Linked DNA regions of Rattus norvegicus. The protein of the gene in region 2 binds, or shares a complex with, the protein of the main gene of each other region. Links are inferred from orthologs where the notes say so. Each region holds a gene or a part of one and is shown on either strand. Other genes may lie near its edges. The genes, in order: Gja1, Nedd4, Arrdc3 and Grb10.

Region 1 (4,057 bases), on a different chromosome or scaffold from region 2:
TCTGCTGTTTGCCTTAGAGTGAGATGCTCAACCCAGTCAGGTGATGCCTGAACAAAGGCCGAGAGATTTCCCTGCCTAACCCCGGGAACACCGCTGAAGCCTGTTTATTGCCCTGCCATAAGCCCTCTTGGAGGACATCTGGGAGCCCTCAAAGGAGCTGCCCACCCTTAGGAATGAGGTTATATGACTCAGTCCTTCATAAACCCCGTCAGGTATGATGAGAAAGCCATGAAGTTGTAGGCAGGCGGTCACCAGGCAGACGTCTCTCCCCTGGATGGGCTTCCTAGGGACATGATCGAAAGAGAGGAGGAAGTTTTCAGACTGGCTTTATGCTAACATAATGTATCTGGAAACTCTAGTCTGCAGTTAGGAGGAGGAGGAGGAGGAGGAGGAGGAGGAGGAGGAGGAGGAGGAGGAGGAGGAGGAGGAGGAGGGAGGGAGGGGAGGGGGAGAATTTTGGCATCTTCCTGCCGATTTAAATGCTAAATTGTAGTCATGAATAGGACTGAGATAGGACGTTCACTTCCTCGGAGACTGGGTAGAGGTCAGTATCAACGTTTCAGTCCAAAGTTACCTACATGATATTTTTCATAATACATAACATCTACCTTCCTGTTCTTAATCGAAGGAATACACAAAACTATCTAAAGCAGCAGAGAAACCGACGAGTAGACATACCCCTCCACTGGGGCTGGTTGTGAAATGCCTTTCCCATGCCCACCGCCTTTTTTCCTTTGTTAATTGTCCGTGTTTAAGAGGAGGAGAATTAGGTCATAAGAAAGATCACGCACACCCACCTCAAGCTTCACACACCTTGGGGAACGCAGAACAAGTCTGCACGAGTTGACCTTGTCCCCCCCGCCCCCCATTTTTATTTATTGCATTTTTTTTTCATTTAGAAAATGTAACACGAAAGGTACGTCTTCTCCCTCCCCCTGGTCATCCCCTGAAACAAGCCCTACTACACCCAACAGTATTTTATCTGTGAGGAGTCACAGCCCTGCAGTGGCCGACGGACAGCTAGAGCTGTTTTCTCATATTTTTTTCCCTTCTCGTCAGCACATTCAAACTACAACTTTATCTTGACCAGGTTGCTTCTGCCTGCTCAGCCCCACGTTCGTCAGCCTCCTCCCCACCTTCTCCCCGCCTTTTCTTCCTCCCTCCCCTTTCTCCTGGCCCCTCCTTCCAGTTGAGTCAGTGGCTTGAAACTTTTAAAAGCTCTGCGCTCCAAGTTAGAAAAACGCTTTTACGAGGTATCAGCACTTTTCTTTCATTGGGGGAAAGGCGTGAGGAAAGTACCAAACAGCAGCAGACTTTTAAACTTTAAACAGACAGGTCTGAGAGCCTGAACTCTCATTTTTCCTTTGACTTCAGCCTCCAAGGAGTTCCACCAACTTTGGCGCGCCGGCTTCACTTTCATTAAGTGAAAGAGTAAGTTTTGATAAAAAACCCGCTTTTACCTAATAGCGTCTCTTTCTGTCAGGAAAACTCTTGCACTGTGCTTTGTAAACGCGTTGCGTCTTTGGCTTAGGATATCGTAAGTAGAACGATGGTCTTCCAAGTGTCTTTGCCATTTCCACGTGCTGGTTTATATTTTGATTGTTTAAAAAGTTCCGCTGCTCGTGCAACAGGTAAAAGGCTCAAACTTTTTCCAGCTAGAGTGAAGGACCAACTTCCTAGACTTGGTTCTTTGTTGTGGAGCCTAATTTTCACTTTTCTGTAGTCCCTGATGGAGAAGGTGCTGCGGTGGGAGGGAAGGGGGGGTCCCCTCCGTCAACTTTGCCTAGCCTGCTTCCTCTAGTGCAGGACACTGCAGGCTTTTTCCTTTTTCCTCCTGAAAATCCCGTCGGCTGTTCTACAGCCTTGAGAAAGCTGGCTCCTTTTGTAACAGTGCTTTGTTGAGCCCCTGCCGCAGCAGTTGACTTCCACGTGGTTCTTCCTTAGCCTTTTTTCTGGATTAAGCCAGAAAATACGTAGATCGGGGTGCTGCGGGTAGGGTTTTTAGACCAACAGTAGTTACTTTGTGCGAGCCAGCGCGGTGCTACGGGACGAACCCCTCAGCCCACACAGCCAGCTTTTTTTTTTTTTTTCCCCTCCACGCTGGCAACTGCGGGCGCGAGAAATCTTGAATGGGTGGTGGTGACTTGGGGAGCGTTAGAGGAACCGGCGTTAGAAACAGTGTGTGCCAGGGTGCTTTTCCAAAACCAACTGCTAAAACCCAAGCTCCTAGAAGGAATGGGGAAAAGGGAATTTTGGAGCCGCGCTTTAGAAGGGGCTGCCCCCTCCCCACCCCCACCCCCCTTCGCCTGCCTGCCCGGACCTGTAGGGACTTCAGAGCTGTTGGGACAGTTTTGAATTAGCTTCTAGAGGGTGCAAAGCACTAAGCAAAAATGATGTTAACGTGCAGTTTAAAGGGGATCCGTCTTAAAGCTGTTATTTTTTTTCTTTATTTTTAAATTGGTAACACATTCTGTAAAGCACTTTGCCCAGTCTTCATTCTGTCCGGCCTAAATCCACACCGAAACGACTCAGGGTGGGTCTGTAGTTTTGTTTGGTTGGTTTTTTTTTTTTTTCCCGTGTACCAGACGGGCCGAGTCCTTTTGAAGTGAAAACTTTAGGGCAGAGGGTGGCACGGGCCCTTCCTGCCCAATCTTAGCATCATCCCGGGCTCGGCTCCCCGCAGCCTTCCGGCTTCGCGGTCCAGACCGCTGCCTGCGACGGAGGGGGGTTGGGGGGGAGGGGAGGCGAGCCTCGCGGCCGGACCGTCAGAGGCAGCAAGTGGTCGACTTTATTAAAGTTGTCAATCTGAAGTCTCTTCCCCTGCCCTCCGAGACGCCTTTTCGTGGTTTCTCTGCCTAAACTTGTCGGGTGGCTGAGTGGAGCCCCCGGGAAGGTCCCCTGAACACCTAGGGAGCCCGGGTGCTGGTAAATGCACTTGTAACACTCCTGGAAACTCTTGAAATTCCCCAAGAATGAGGCGGGGCGGAAGAAGGAGGGGCAAAGAAGACCCTTCGAGAAACCGTGCGACAGCTACTGACGTGTGCTGAGGCAAATCCGTTCAGGATTGGAAAATTCAAACCTTGACTTCCGAGCAGAGTTCTCCCCGTTAGTGCCCTCGGGTCCACCCAATGCTCACTGGGCATCTCTGGCAGAGCCTTGGCCGAGCACTCGGCGGCCCGCGCCCGGAGGTGAGCTTCCCTTTCCCTCCCACTACTGGGTTTTGAGGAGAGGAGAAGAGCCTACAGGGCCGACTTTGGAGGTGGGTTTGATTTCCTTTGTTCCCCAAGCACAATAGTAGTGACTGGAAGGTAGTGAATCTTACCAGTCCAAAAAGACCTCTGGGCAGCAACCTTGAATGGTCAGTAGCTTCCCATGAGGAAGCCTGAGGTTAATTTTTTCTTTTTTATTTTCATGAGGATTGATGAAAATAAAAGTGTGTTAAAGTAAACGAGGGCATAGACTGCGGGGGTGGGGTCGTACTAGTTAATTCTGCTGGGTAGGCCAAGTTGTGTGGAAATGAGCGCATTTACAGGCTGTACTTTCTGTCCTGGAGAGGTGTTGAACTCTGGATTACTGGAATGCACTCCCCGGTGTGTGAAAGCTTTGTGCATCTAGATTCGGGTACAGTGGGCTACCTGTCCCTTGCTGGGGTTCCAGGTGGTAGTGCTTTGGTACTCCACTGTCTAAACACACACCACATAGATGTTCTTCAACGTTGTCCCATCATCCTTTGAGGTTGGGATTCTTATTATTGCTGACCTTCCACGGGGAAATGTGGTTCTAAAGCCAGCAGCAAGAGGGGAAGGCTGCGTTTCCTTCCGCGAAGGGAGCAGAACTTGGTTGCTTAGCCGTCTTCAATTCCTGCAGAGAGAAGGGATAGCAGATACTCTGCTTTGCTTTATCACCGTATTGCAGAGGTGCAGTTCATGTGAATTGTAGAAATTTGTATGCCCCGAGGGAAGGGAACTATAGGAAAGTCACCCACTGATTAATACCTCGAACTCCACCTATCCTGATCTTCTACCTTCCCTTCATGATTCTGTTTGACTTCTGATGT
Region 2 (3,560 bases):
AGCTTGGAAACATTGCCTTCATTTCCTTTTTACACATGCACAGATAGACTCACATCCAACTTTTTACTTGCTGAGCCATTGAGAATAAGTTACAGAGTTTGTGCCATTTTCCCCTGAATATTTTGTTATGTATCACTTTAGAAAGTGTAATATTTTTATTAATTTGTTGAGAATTTCATAATAATGTATTTTTTTTTAATTTTTACGGGTATGGGAGTTCTGTCTGGATAAGAATGAAGAGGGTGGTGGATCCCCCGGAAGTGATGTCACAGATACTTGTGAGCCACCATGTGGATGCTGGGAGTTAAATCCGAGTTCCCTGGAAGAGGAGCACGTGCTTTTCACTGCCGATCCATATCTCGAGCTTCACAATGTACGTTTTTAAAATTTTTATTTATGTGTATGGATGTTTTGTTTGTATGTGTGTCTGTATATGGTGTGTGTTCCTAGTGTCCATAGAGACCAGAAGAGGGCTTCTTCAGCCAGAACTTGGAACTGGACATATAGTTGGTTGTGAGTGACCATGTAGGTGCTGGGAATTGAATCCAGGTCCTCTGGAAGAACAGCTGATGCTTTTTACTACTGAGCCATTTCTTAGCCCCACGATTGATTGACTGATTGATTGATTGATTGATTTCTTTTGAGGCAAGGTCTCATTATATAGCCCCAACTAGCCTGAAACTTAACTCTGTAAACCAAGCTGGTCTTAAATTATTGTCATGTTGACGCCAAGGGATTAGAGTGGTTCATCACCTCACCTAGCCATACACAATGTAATTTGACCATTCTCGCCCCTCCAACTCCTCACCCAGCTCCCCTTAGATGAGACGTCTCTTTTAAGACAAGGAAGTTCTCCCATAGGACCTCATTCCACTGTGACCTGCTAGGTCATTGCTATTTGACATATCATAGTGCGCTCACTGTTATTTATAAACTCTTTAATGAGACTTAAAATTGCCTTTTCTTAGTAGTTATTACATGATTATGATGAGCTTCTGATTTTATGTTGTGAACGTGGTAACAATGGAGACTTCCTTAGTTACCATTGTCATTAGTTTTTTTTTTTTTTTTGGTTCTTTTTTTTTTGGAGCTGGGGACCGAACCCAGGGCCTTGCGCTTCCTAGGCAAGCGCTCTACCACTGAGCTAAATCCCCAGCCCCCTTTAAATTTTTCTTATAAATTTTAAGGCTAAATTCTTATTGTGTGTAATAACTTGACTCTAGTTCTTTGCTTTTTGTGTGTGTGATCAAATGTATCTAAAAATGATAAATTTTGTTTTTATCTTCTTTTATATACCTTTTAATCAGATTACTTATTTTTAAATATTCTCCAAATTTAGTATTCTGGTTATCATTGTATTAGATAACTTGTAATTACTTAAGTAAAACCACCCTTTGCATTTTAGGATGACACGCGAGTTGTGAGAGTGAAGGTTATAGCTGGCATAGGTCTGGCCAAGAAAGACATCTTGGGAGCCAGGTAAGTATGATATGTGGGTTTGGAGTTTAAAGAAATAATATTTCTTTCTTGGACTTTGATTAAATGAAAATCTGAATGATAATAACAAATTTTGGTGTACAGTGAGGACCTTACAGGTTAGGTGGTTGATTATTTTCTTGGTATCTGTAATAGTGATCAGTGATAGTTATAGATTTTTTTATTTTAAGTCTCTAAATCCTTTAGCAGATAATAACCACCATAATCTCTGGGTGCAATAGAAAAAGTACCTCTGAGCATCAAATGAGCAGAGCGGGAGTACTGGGGCGAGCCACATGAGAGCGAAGCAGTGGTGTGGAGTGGTTCCCTTATGGGAATTAGTCTGAAGCCAGGGAGAATTACAACCTGGAACGGGAGAGGTAGTCCCACAGCCTGAAACCCTGGAGCAGGTTGGACTCTCGTGGTGGAGAAATGAGAAGAACAGATTGGAAGGAAGCATGGCAGTGGTAAGGAAAAGATTTGTACCCTCAGCTGGTGTCAGACGATCTGAGCGGAGAGCTATTGGCCCAATAGAGTTTGTGACCCTTGTCCAAACAAGGTAGATAAACATGGAAAAATAACAGAACCTAGATTCTCTGTAACTAACTCAGCTTACAATGTCCGGGACACAACATGTAGTCACCTGGTCTGTGGAGAGACAGGGAAGTGGAGCACAGTAAATGTCAGTCAATAAAGAGTCTGTGAGCAGAGTGTGCTGGGAGGCAGAGGCGGGAAGACCTCTGAATTCAAGGATTGTCTGAGTCCAGGGCTGCCAGGCCTACATAGCGAGACAGTGTCTTCAGGAAACAAAAACTGGGCCAAAGGGAAGAGTATATGCTCATGGTCAGTCAAAACCTTGGAAGTTTCAGGAATGAAGTAGAGACAGACAGACAGACAGACAGACAAACAGGGAAATTCTACAACTAAAATATATTTGAAATTAAAGTACTTTGGTTGATTATGATAACTGAATGGATACATAGAGCAAAGATGAACTGAATATAGATTAATGGGAATCATTTACCAATTAGAAGATGATAAAGAAGAAAGGTCTGGGGGTTGGGGATTTAGCTCAGTGGTAGAGCGCTTGCTAGGCCCTGGGTTCAGTCCTCAGTTCCGAAAAAAAGAACAAAAAAAGAAAAAAAAAAAAGAAGAAAGGTCTGTTTTAACTACGTTCCAGAAAGACCAGAGAGCTAAATAATGAAATAAAATATTTTTAAAGAGTAAGTGTCTAAATCTGGAAACAATAAATGAAATATACAACTGGACTGGAGTGTTGGCTCGGCATTCCGGAATTGCTCTTACTGAGGATTCCCAGGGACCCGCCTGTGACCAACTCCAGGGGATCTGGCGCCCTCATGTGGCCTCCACAGGCACTGCACTCACAAGTACACATACAAATCTTTTAAAGAAGAAATGTTAAAGCAGGTTAAAGTTCCTGGTGAAGAGAGGAAAAGCATCAGAAGCAATAAATACCTGGAATCTTCAGACACTTTTAAATTAAAAGTTTTATTTTTGTGTGAGGGTGTTTTGTCTTCATGTATATGTGTGTATGCCTGATATTCATAGAGGTGAGAAGAAGGTATTGAGTCCCCTGGAACTGAAGTTACAGATGTCTGTGATCTGCCATGTTTGTGCTGGGAATCAGACTTAGGTCCCTTGCAAGAGCAGTAAGTGCTCTTAACCTTATACAGAATCCATTGGACTCGGGACTCCCAACCTTCTCTTAGGGATTTATATAGATGAAAAAAATACCCATGGGAATTACAGCACAAAGGACGGACGTGTCTGCTGTGACCCTGTGTGGGAGAACGGTGCCATAGAAAGCAAAGGCAAAGTGAATCACTAAAAAGTAGGAGACATGGGGCTGGGGATTTAGCTCAGTGGTAGAGCGCTTACCTAGGAAGCGCAAGGCCCTGGGTTTGGTCCCCAGCTCCGGAAAAAAAAAAAAAAAAAAAAAAGAACCAAAAAAAAAAAAGTAGGAGACATAAATAAGCCATCTGTCAGCGGTGAGGCAAAGAACACTAGGTTTTATAAGAGCAGACATTTGCAGGGTTTTTGTTGTAGTTTTGTTTGTTGACAGA
Region 3 (3,988 bases), on a different chromosome or scaffold from region 2:
TGTGATTCGCCCTATCCGGATTTACCATGCAAAAAGGATCTGATGTTTAACTATAGACAACCTCGTCCGATTTTGGCTATGCATAAAACAGGATTTCATAATATAGCCATGTTATGAGGTTATGTTGACTGTTAATGATCTTAGTCTATGCCATTACCCTCTAAATCCTGGTGATGTTTAGAACTGCATTTTTTTACTCAAGGCATTGAAAAAAGGAGAAATGTGCCTGTATTTAAAGATGTAGCACGGCAATTAGCATGTTGAAGTAAAAGTAAGGCTTAAAAATTAAGCCTCATTTATGTAACAAATCATACTTAAAAACCAAAAACCACCGTATATGCTTTTCTAGCTAAGACTTTTCAGTCTGTTGTAAACAGTGTCAGCTAAATGACTATGTTCAAACTGTCTCTTATGAGGTGGTAATTAGGGGTGTGAGCTCTATTCTTATTCCTGAGGATACAGAAGTTGTAATCGCGTCATTCTCTGCAATGGAGCAGTAGGTGGTGTCTTGAAAAAGGACTTTTTCTCCCGTCGAGGAAGTGGTCGGGCCTACACACTACACAGACAACTTGGTCGAGTTTGAAGCTGTAGGAGTCTGGGAAGGCAGCTGAAGACAAGAGCTGCCTGGAGCATTGTTCTTTGGCTCCTAAGGCCTTGGCTTAGTCCATTGCCACCCTGTCTACAAAGTCCTGCTTGCTTTTGTTGTTTCTATCCAAGTCAACAATGCTTTCTAGTATGAACAATATTTGTCTGCTTTTTATTACATTTTCTTTTGAAATTCATTAGCTTAGACTGGGGCCACCAGCGGCTTGCCCAACCGGTTTCTCCCCTTCCCCCACGGCTCGCACGTCCTGCGGGTCCGCGGTACGGGCGCACACCCTGGCCTGGCGCCGCCGGGCCCCTCTACCTAGCTCGCGGAGCGCGTGCGGGGCCGGCGCTGCAGCCGCGCGGAGTGCCCGCCGGCCAATCGCTGCGGCCCATGCACCGAAGTCAGGGACGCCGGCTCCACACCTACTGTACCGGGAGCGCGCGACGAGAGGGAGGCGCGCGCCTCGCGGGAGGGAACGCGCAGGGAGGCTGGCTGCAGTCGCGGCCTGCGCCTGCGCACTGGGGTTGTTTTTCACAAAGCTGCTCTTAAAGTGAGCTGGCAGCCTCCAGCCGCCCGTCTTTGTAAGGAGACCACTGAGACGAGCAGGAGCGTGGAGCAGCGGCTTCTCTGCTGCCCTGACTTTTTAAGAAATCTCAATGAACTATTTGTAGACAATCACTGATCCTGCCTGCAAGATTTTTTTTTCTTTTGCACGGCAAAGACACCGATCAGTGTTAAGTGAAGATCACATCTTATATGCGATCTTGACTTTTTTTGGTCTTATTATATTTTTATAGATTTTGTTATAATCATGGTGCTGGGAAAGGTAAAGAGTTTGACAATAAGCTTTGACTGTCTTAATGACAGTAATGTCCCCGTGTATTCTAGCGGGGACACTGTCTCAGGAAGGGTAAATTTAGAAGTTACTGGGGAAATCAGAGTAAAATCTCTTAAAATTCATGCAAGAGGACATGCGAAAGTACGCTGGACTGAATCAAGAAACGCCGGCTCCAATACTGCCTATACACAGAATTACACTGAAGAAGTAGAATATTTCAACCATAAAGACATCTTAATTGGGCACGAAAGAGGTAAGTTTTTATATTAGTCACTACATTCTACTTCTGTGCATGAGAACTTTAATCTCCTTTAATGCAGTTCTAGTCGGCAGTTTGATGAAGGTAGCAAACTTAGAAGATGTAGTTTCTCCTTGACGTCCAAGCGTGTTAAGCTGTAATCCATGCAGGCGTCTGCAAAGTGAGTGCAAACTGCACTTAACTTCATCTGTAACCGGCTTCATATCTGCCATACGCACCTTATAACGTGTTCAAATGTGACTCCGTCGTTTTACTGATATTTTCAAATTCATTTGCAAAGACTGCAGTCCAATGTTGGATTTCTCCTTTTATTTTACAATCTTAGATACAGGAAGGAGCACCAATAAAGAACTGTAGTGACATTTTAAGAAGGTTGCTAGATGTATCTGCTTTTGATATTAACGTGCAAACGACTTTAAAGACTTGATTATTGTTCTTTGATAAAGGGTTTCCCTGGCTTATTTTGACATATGGCATCAACACCCCCACGTGTTTTCCCATTTCTCCCAATTCCTTTTAAAATGTACATCAAGCACCATTTATTTTAAAGGATAATATCTATCATTATGCAAACTATTAAGTCAGTTTAGAAGCCATTCCGGGTCAGTACTTTTCTTCTCGGAGCATCATGTCTAACTTTGGAACGTGGATTCAATGAAACCCATGGCAGACAGATGGAATTGAAAAGTATATGGCACATCGGATTTGGTTTTTGGGTACAAGATGAAGATTAAGGCATTGTCAAAGGGACAAGAGGTCCTAAGATTTGCGATCTGTTGTTTAAGTGGCTACAATGTGGAAATATAGGCGACTCCAAGCTTGTTTTTCTAAGTTTCCACCCTTTGTTAGAAGCGGTTCAATCCTGTTTCGGACCAGTTCTGGGGGATGGTGAGGAGGGGCGCTTGTTCTGCTCTCAGCAGATTGGTTACACGCGTCAGGTGGTGGCGATGACTTAATTCCTAGTCCAAGAAGAATATAATGTTAAAACTGGTTATGTAATTTGTGTTTCTTCTTTCTAATGCAGTATTTTAGTGCAAATACTGGCGATTTTTCAGATAGAGGCATGCTTTTTTTTTTAAGTATCTAAAATATACATCCTAGGGAGACGTTAATTGAACTTAACGCAAGTGAGAAATGGAGGATGCTTTAAGTTACACAGAATTAATGTACCGTCTTTTAAATATAAAGGTGAAGCCAAGTCTTGGGGTTTACGCAGCTACACCGAGGTGTTCTACATGCTGAAATGGTTCCCTAGTTCACCTTCCGCAGCGTCCACACGAATGGGCCATACAGTACCTAATGACAGCGCTCGTATTTGTTTTTTAAAAAGGGCAGATCCATGAATTTGCTTTTGAACCTGCTTTGACGTCGCACCCTTTAAAAACATAAGAAGAGACAAAGGCTTTTTCCTCGAAGAGTTAAGACTTGTAGTAGGGGGGAAAGAACGAGTTCTGTGGACACACACTTGATCCGTTGCACCACGATCTCACAGTTAAGATAACTACCTGCGCCCTGCGAGGTGCCCCAGCAAGCCTGGCTACGCGTGGACGGGCTCTTAAGGCTGGAATAGTTTCAATGACTTCAAACTGGCAGCTCGCTCAAACTAGCCTGGTAGCTGAGCGCCCGCCCCGGGCGCCCAGCGATAGGCGGAGCTGCGTTTGTTAGCCTGTTGCTAAGGCGATGCCAGGCGTTGATTGGACTGGGCACGGGGGGGGGGGGGCGAGGGGGAAGTCGAGCCGGCTCGCGCCGGCTGGGGCGAGGCTTGGAACCGGCGTGCGCCGGTAAAGGTCTCTCCCGGCCAGCCGCCTCCGCCCCTCGGCGCGCCCCTCTCCGGGTGTCCCAGGCCCCTCGCCCACTGCAGCCGCCGCAGGTTTCATTGCCCTGGGCTCAAGCTCGGTTAAAAATCCCACCAAAGGCTGATCGAGGTGCGGGCGCCAGGGTACCCCCGGGGCTGGTACCTGTGTGACCCGAGGGGACATGACACAGGACAGATAGGGGAGACATCACCGGCACCAACTGGGCCTCGCCCATTGTTCCCCGGGGCCTCCGCCTCCGCGCCGCCGCCCCAGTTCCCCCTCGCTGTAACAGCGAAGGTGTCAGGGTGGCCTGAGCCAGATTGAACCGGTCACCGGCTGGGGCGTGGAAAGCGGAAGCTCGGCTTGCTGTGGCTCCGCCTCCGGCCCAGCATTCTAGGCTGCTCGGGCGCGAGCGCCGCGCGACGTATGCCGTATGTATAGCGGGGCGCGCGGAGCGCGGCCGCGCGCGGGCGGGCCGGCTGGGATCTGCTCAGCGCCGGTTTAGG
Region 4 (4,202 bases), on a different chromosome or scaffold from region 2:
CTGGATTCTGCACAGGCTTCCCTCCTATTAAGTGCCAACACTGAAATGTCCGGCGGGGAGCACTGAGTCTCCACGGATGGACAACTGCCCCCAGCGCACAGTTGCAAATAGACACGACGGTCCTGTAGTTTCTTACACGTGGAACAAACTTTCAAGCAAATAGGTTCTCTAAATCACACCATCTATAAAATACCAGTTTAAAAAGAAAGATAGGCCAAGCAAAAATCTGTACAGCTCTAAAATGAGCTAAGGGCACATGGATGGCTTGGTTCAACCAAAGTTTGGCTTCGAAACACTGTAAAGCCTGTGACCCAGCGGGTTCAGCCACATCCTAAATTTTGAGCTGGATCTTTGGTTCTGATTTTGTCCTTCTTGCCCAGTGGAGGCTAACTGGACAGACACAGCTGCTCTGGCTTCCAACCATAGCAGTAACCACCACCCAAAGTCCTAGACAATTAGCCACCAAAAAATCTGCCCTGCTTTCTGGTTCCCTAGTCCGCCTACAAAATCCACTTTGACCAACCCAACACTGGTTCAAAAGCAACATAGGCCAAGTAGTGTGTAATAAGTGATTTAGGTGCCACGAAGCGTTTTAACTTTAATCATAATGAACAAAAATATCATATCAAACTCATGGCTTGATGAATATTGAAGTTTCTTCTCAAAGTAAATGAGTATGTAAGTTAAAAAAAAAGAAGAAAAAGAAAAAAGAAAAAAGAAAAACCTCAGTGATAATTGCTTGGTCTACGTGGCATTAATCTGGAAGGCTGGAAGCAACTGGTCTAAGAAACCAGGCCCCGTCCTCCATTTGCTCTGCTGTGTGTTGAGCAGGGTGTCCCTCCTCTACACCATTTCTTCTAGAAGTGGACATGCTTTTGCAGACGGTAAAAAGCTCAGGAGGTCTCCCCAGAGCTTTGTCCTTTGTTAGCTGGTGCGGCCTGAGGCATACCAGTTAACCTCCTGAGCCTTGGTTTCCAGACCTGTAAAATGGGGACCGTGGGGGCCACGAAGCGCATAAAAAGCAACAGGGCTTTTGAAAGCGCCTTGTAAACTGCGAAATGCTACCTCAGTATCAGTGGCTACACTTCTCAGTTACTGCAACGCCTGCTGGGCTGCAACTCCGTCTGTCCTCAAATTCCCTCCCTGTAATGTGGGGACTGGCCTCTTTCAAATGTTCCCAGTAAAACTCAAAAAAAAAAAAAAAAGTATGTTCAGTAATCCTAAAGTTTTGATTTTTTTTAAAGACAAAAATTTGGTAGGCGAGACTCATTCCTGGGAGCACATTTGATCGCAGCACTCTTGGTGAAATAGTTCTAAGACGCCTCATCCATCGCCTTACACAATTCCCTCAGCTGCAGAAATCCAGAACTCGAGGTCCACTTCTGTAAAATAGGAACCTCACTAAAGTGTAAGCCTTAGTCTGTTCTCGAGGGGGTGAGGTGGGGGGGGCGATGTTAACGACTGGAGTTCTGGTAAAGGAGAGCGAAACGTTAAACTGAGCACCATTTCTGAAACTCAGGGGCTCCAAATGGCTGAATCAGCAATTTCTGAAACAAAGTCTTCTGGGCCTGGCCTTTTAAACAGCCGCAAAGGGAAAGTTGTGCAATAACACATATTTACTCACTAATGCTACTTGTTTTGGACTTTTTCTTTGCATCTCTTGAATGAAACAGTTACAAGAAAAGAGTTTTTTCAAAAACATCCCAAAGACCCGGGGCCTTGTAAAAATCACCTGTGGCGCTCCTACTTTTTTGGTTAAAGCAAATGAAAAGAAGTTCGCGGGGTTTCTTCCAATGCCAAGAGAAGGCAAATACAATTTTTTTAAAAAGTGAATACCCTAATTTCCATAACGCACATGCCGCAGGCCCTCGCCAGGCAGGCGTTTGGAGAGGCAATCAGCAAAGGCGGAGAGTTGCATCAGAAATTTCCTTCTGCAAACGGTACCGCTCTTATCACGTTTCCACCGCTGGCGGGCTGCTTTTTCGCGAGCCCTCAAACTTGGTGTTAGGCCCCAGCGACGGGTAGCGGGGCCACTAACAGACCCGAAGAAAGAAAGGGGTGGGGGTTGGGGCACGAGGGGGGGGGGTAGGGACAGATCCTCGGACCGCGGCCCGGGCCGCGCTCGCTTGGGACTTGGGAGTGTCTGGCACCGCTGCCCGGCCCGCCTGGCGCGCGCGCCGAGGCCGGGGGCGCAGCGGGAGTACCCGCCGCTCCGGTGATCCCCGGGCGCCCACCCTCCAGGGCGGTGGCCCCCGAAAGCGCGGCCTTGACCGCGGCCCCCGCCCGAGCCCCCCGAGCCGTCGCCGTCGGACAAGACGGCTCAAGAATGTCCCTCTCGGGGCCCCGAGCCTCCCCCCGGGGGCCAGAGCGCAGTGGAGAGCGTCGCGGGGCGCCGCAGCCGCGCGCCCGCCGTCCCGTCCCGCCATCCCGCGCCGTCCCGCCGCGGGCCGGGGGCGCCGCAGCCCCTCAGTCCCTTAGCCCCCCGAGGCGACGCCCTTCCGCCCGCCGCGCCTCGCGGGGCCCCGCGTCCCGTTCGCGGGCGGCCCCGAGCGCAGACAATGACGGCGCGGGGAGCCGCCCGGCCGCCGGGCCCCGCGAGGCGCGGACCACAAAAGTAACTTGCCGCCGCTCCCCGCCCAACTCCTACCTGGCGTGCAGCTCCTCGTCGCCTCCGCGTGGCCGCTGGCCACACGTTGCACGAGTCCCTGCGAAAAAGCCGAAGGCAAAGACGGACACTGGACGGTCCCAGTCGCCGTGCGTGAGACGGTGCGCGGAAACTTCGTGCTCCCGTGGGTCTCGGAACGCGAATCCCGCCCGCCACTGGTCGCAGCGCCCTTCTCTTCCTGCCGCCTCCCCGCACCCCACCCCCTCGATGGGCTTTAAACTCTCCGGGCCCCGCCCGCCCTCCCCGCCTCCGCCACCGCCTCCGCCTCCTCCTCCCCCGGCCGCTTTTCCTGCTCCTCCTCCCGCCGCCGCCCGGACCGCTCGGCGGCCGCCAGCGCGGGAGGAGCCGCGGCCTGGGCGCAGGGCGTGGCGCGGGGGGCGCGGGCTCAGCGGCCGCGGGGTTGGCGTGGCACGATGCTCTCCCGCCCAGGCCGGCGCGCGCCCACCATGCTCGCAGCTTGCGGGACCCCCGGCGCCACGCCACCGCCCCGGTGCGCGGCCGCGCCGGCGAAGACCGACCGGACCTGTCCCGAAGGGCCATTCGGAAGGGAATTGTTCGAAACTCAGAAAGTACTCCCCAACCGCACAGTTCAAATTCTTCCTGGGCTGCGGCCGCCCGACACCGTCGTGGGCAGCCCCGGGCCCGGACAAGGAAACTCGGGCTTGCTCACGGCGGGTCGGTCCGAGCCTCACCTTTCTCAGCCTCAGTTTCGCCAGCTGCGTGTGAGTAGCCGAAGGAGGGAAGCCTGAGAGGCCCTTCATTGTTTCTTGAGGCAGCCTAGCAAGCCTCGTGTCCTTTACCTCTGAAGTGGGGCCCTCCTGAAAGTAAAGCCCAGACGGGCCGTGCCCGGTTTCTAAAGTGACCCACGAAAAGGCAACAGGGCTTATGTGATCGGCCCCTTCGAAATAATTCTTAATGTCTATATTGTGTCGCTTTTCTAGCACAGATAGGATACCAATAATTACACCTTTTTCTTGAGTTTCGGCTTGGTAAAAGCAGCCCCAACCGTAAATCACCGTAGTCGAGAAGACACGTGGTGTGAAACATTCGTGAGTTCTCCTACTTCTCCCTCACTCAAACTTCTGAGGTTGTTTCTAGAGCAACTGTAGAGAAGTAGAGAGACTGAGTCTCTTAAGAAGTAACTTCTAGAAGGTTGAGAAGCTGGGAGGGAGCTCAGGGCAAGGATTTGAAAGCTGTGCTGTGCACGTATTGTCCCGACGCGCTTTTTGAGAGCACTGCTCTGGTACCTCTTGCTTCTAACCGTGGTTTTTCCGACCTCAGATTGATGTAATCAATGAAAAGTTTTCCCTTTCTTATAACTGAACACTCACTCCTGTTTCTGGCCGTTGGTCCAGACTCAGAAACCCACAAGGTGAAAATCCAGAGGAAAGGATGTGAAATAAGTCTTCGATTCCCCGGGAAAGGAACACAAGAAGTCTTTTGTAGACAAAGGACTCAAAAGCGAACCAAAGCAGAGAAAACTGGGCTAACTTTTCCCAAGTTGATTTGCTTCAAACCTTTTAGTTTTCCTGCAAAG

What was found.
Region 1: the proteins of Nedd4 (region 2) and Gja1 are in contact, whole or in part, in an NMR structure (PDB 2N8T), measured with the Rattus norvegicus proteins. Residues at the interface, in NP_037118.1 of Rattus norvegicus: Asp416, Asp417, Tyr422, Val424, Asp425, His426, Ser428, Lys429, Thr430, Thr431, Thr432, Trp433; in NP_036699.1 of Rattus norvegicus: Pro277, Leu278, Ser279, Pro280, Met281, Ser282, Pro283, Pro284, Gly285, Tyr286.
Region 3: the proteins of Nedd4 (region 2) and Arrdc3 are in contact, whole or in part, in a crystal structure (PDB 4N7H), measured with the Homo sapiens proteins. The link is inferred for Rattus norvegicus from reciprocal best matches to the Homo sapiens genes NEDD4 and ARRDC3. Residues at the interface, in NP_001271267.1 of Homo sapiens: Glu847, Arg849, Ala851, Pro852, Phe857, Ile859, Asp860, His861, Lys864, Thr865, Thr866, Thr867, Trp868; in NP_065852.1 of Homo sapiens: Glu344, Ala345, Pro346, Pro347, Ser348, Tyr349, Val352.
Region 4: the proteins of Nedd4 (region 2) and Grb10 are in contact, whole or in part, in a crystal structure (PDB 3M7F), measured with the Mus musculus proteins. The link is inferred for Rattus norvegicus from reciprocal best matches to the Homo sapiens genes NEDD4 and GRB10. Residues at the interface, in NP_035020.2 of Mus musculus: Glu71, Leu72, Val79, Arg104, Ser112, Ile114, Leu115, Thr116, Ser117, Val118, Gln119, Glu134, Ile135, Leu136, Phe137, Arg138, Leu242, Pro243, His244, Pro245, Pro246; in NP_001357532.1 of Mus musculus: Ile514, Arg516, Gln518, His519, Phe521, His522, Gly523, Arg524, Asp548, Gln579, Phe581, Gly587, Asn588, Thr589, Lys590, Phe591, Ser592, Ile595, Gln596, Asp599, Phe600, Leu603, Asn604, Ile617, Arg618, Val619, Ala620.

The regions. Positions count from the first base shown.
Region 1 is NC_086038.1:36,301,316-36,305,372, forward strand, and holds the start of Gja1 (gap junction alpha-1 protein), read left to right. Parts: upstream 1-1,248; 5' UTR 1,249-1,431; intron 1,432-2,441; exon of another isoform or gene 2,442-3,259; intron 3,260-4,057. UniProt on the Homo sapiens protein: Gap junction protein that acts as a regulator of bladder capacity. A gap junction consists of a cluster of closely packed pairs of transmembrane channels, the connexons, through which materials of low MW diffuse from one cell to a neighboring cell.
Region 2 is NC_086026.1:82,271,267-82,274,826, forward strand, and holds part of Nedd4 (E3 ubiquitin-protein ligase NEDD4), read left to right. Parts: intron 1-207; coding exon of another isoform or gene 208-208; coding exon 209-373; intron 374-1,405; coding exon 1,406-1,479; intron 1,480-3,560. UniProt on the Homo sapiens protein: E3 ubiquitin-protein ligase which accepts ubiquitin from an E2 ubiquitin-conjugating enzyme in the form of a thioester and then directly transfers the ubiquitin to targeted substrates. Specifically ubiquitinates 'Lys-63' in target proteins.
Region 3 is NC_086020.1:12,872,038-12,876,025, forward strand, and holds the start of Arrdc3 (arrestin domain-containing protein 3), read left to right. Parts: upstream 1-1,164; 5' UTR 1,165-1,400; coding exon 1,401-1,680; exon of another isoform or gene 1,681-2,645; intron 2,646-2,856; exon of another isoform or gene 2,857-2,993; intron 2,994-3,881; exon of another isoform or gene 3,882-3,988. UniProt on the Homo sapiens protein: Adapter protein that plays a role in regulating cell-surface expression of adrenergic receptors and probably also other G protein-coupled receptors.
Region 4 is NC_086032.1:90,813,535-90,817,736, forward strand, and holds the start of Grb10 (growth factor receptor-bound protein 10), read right to left. Parts: upstream 2,854-4,202; 5' UTR 2,648-2,853; intron 1-2,647.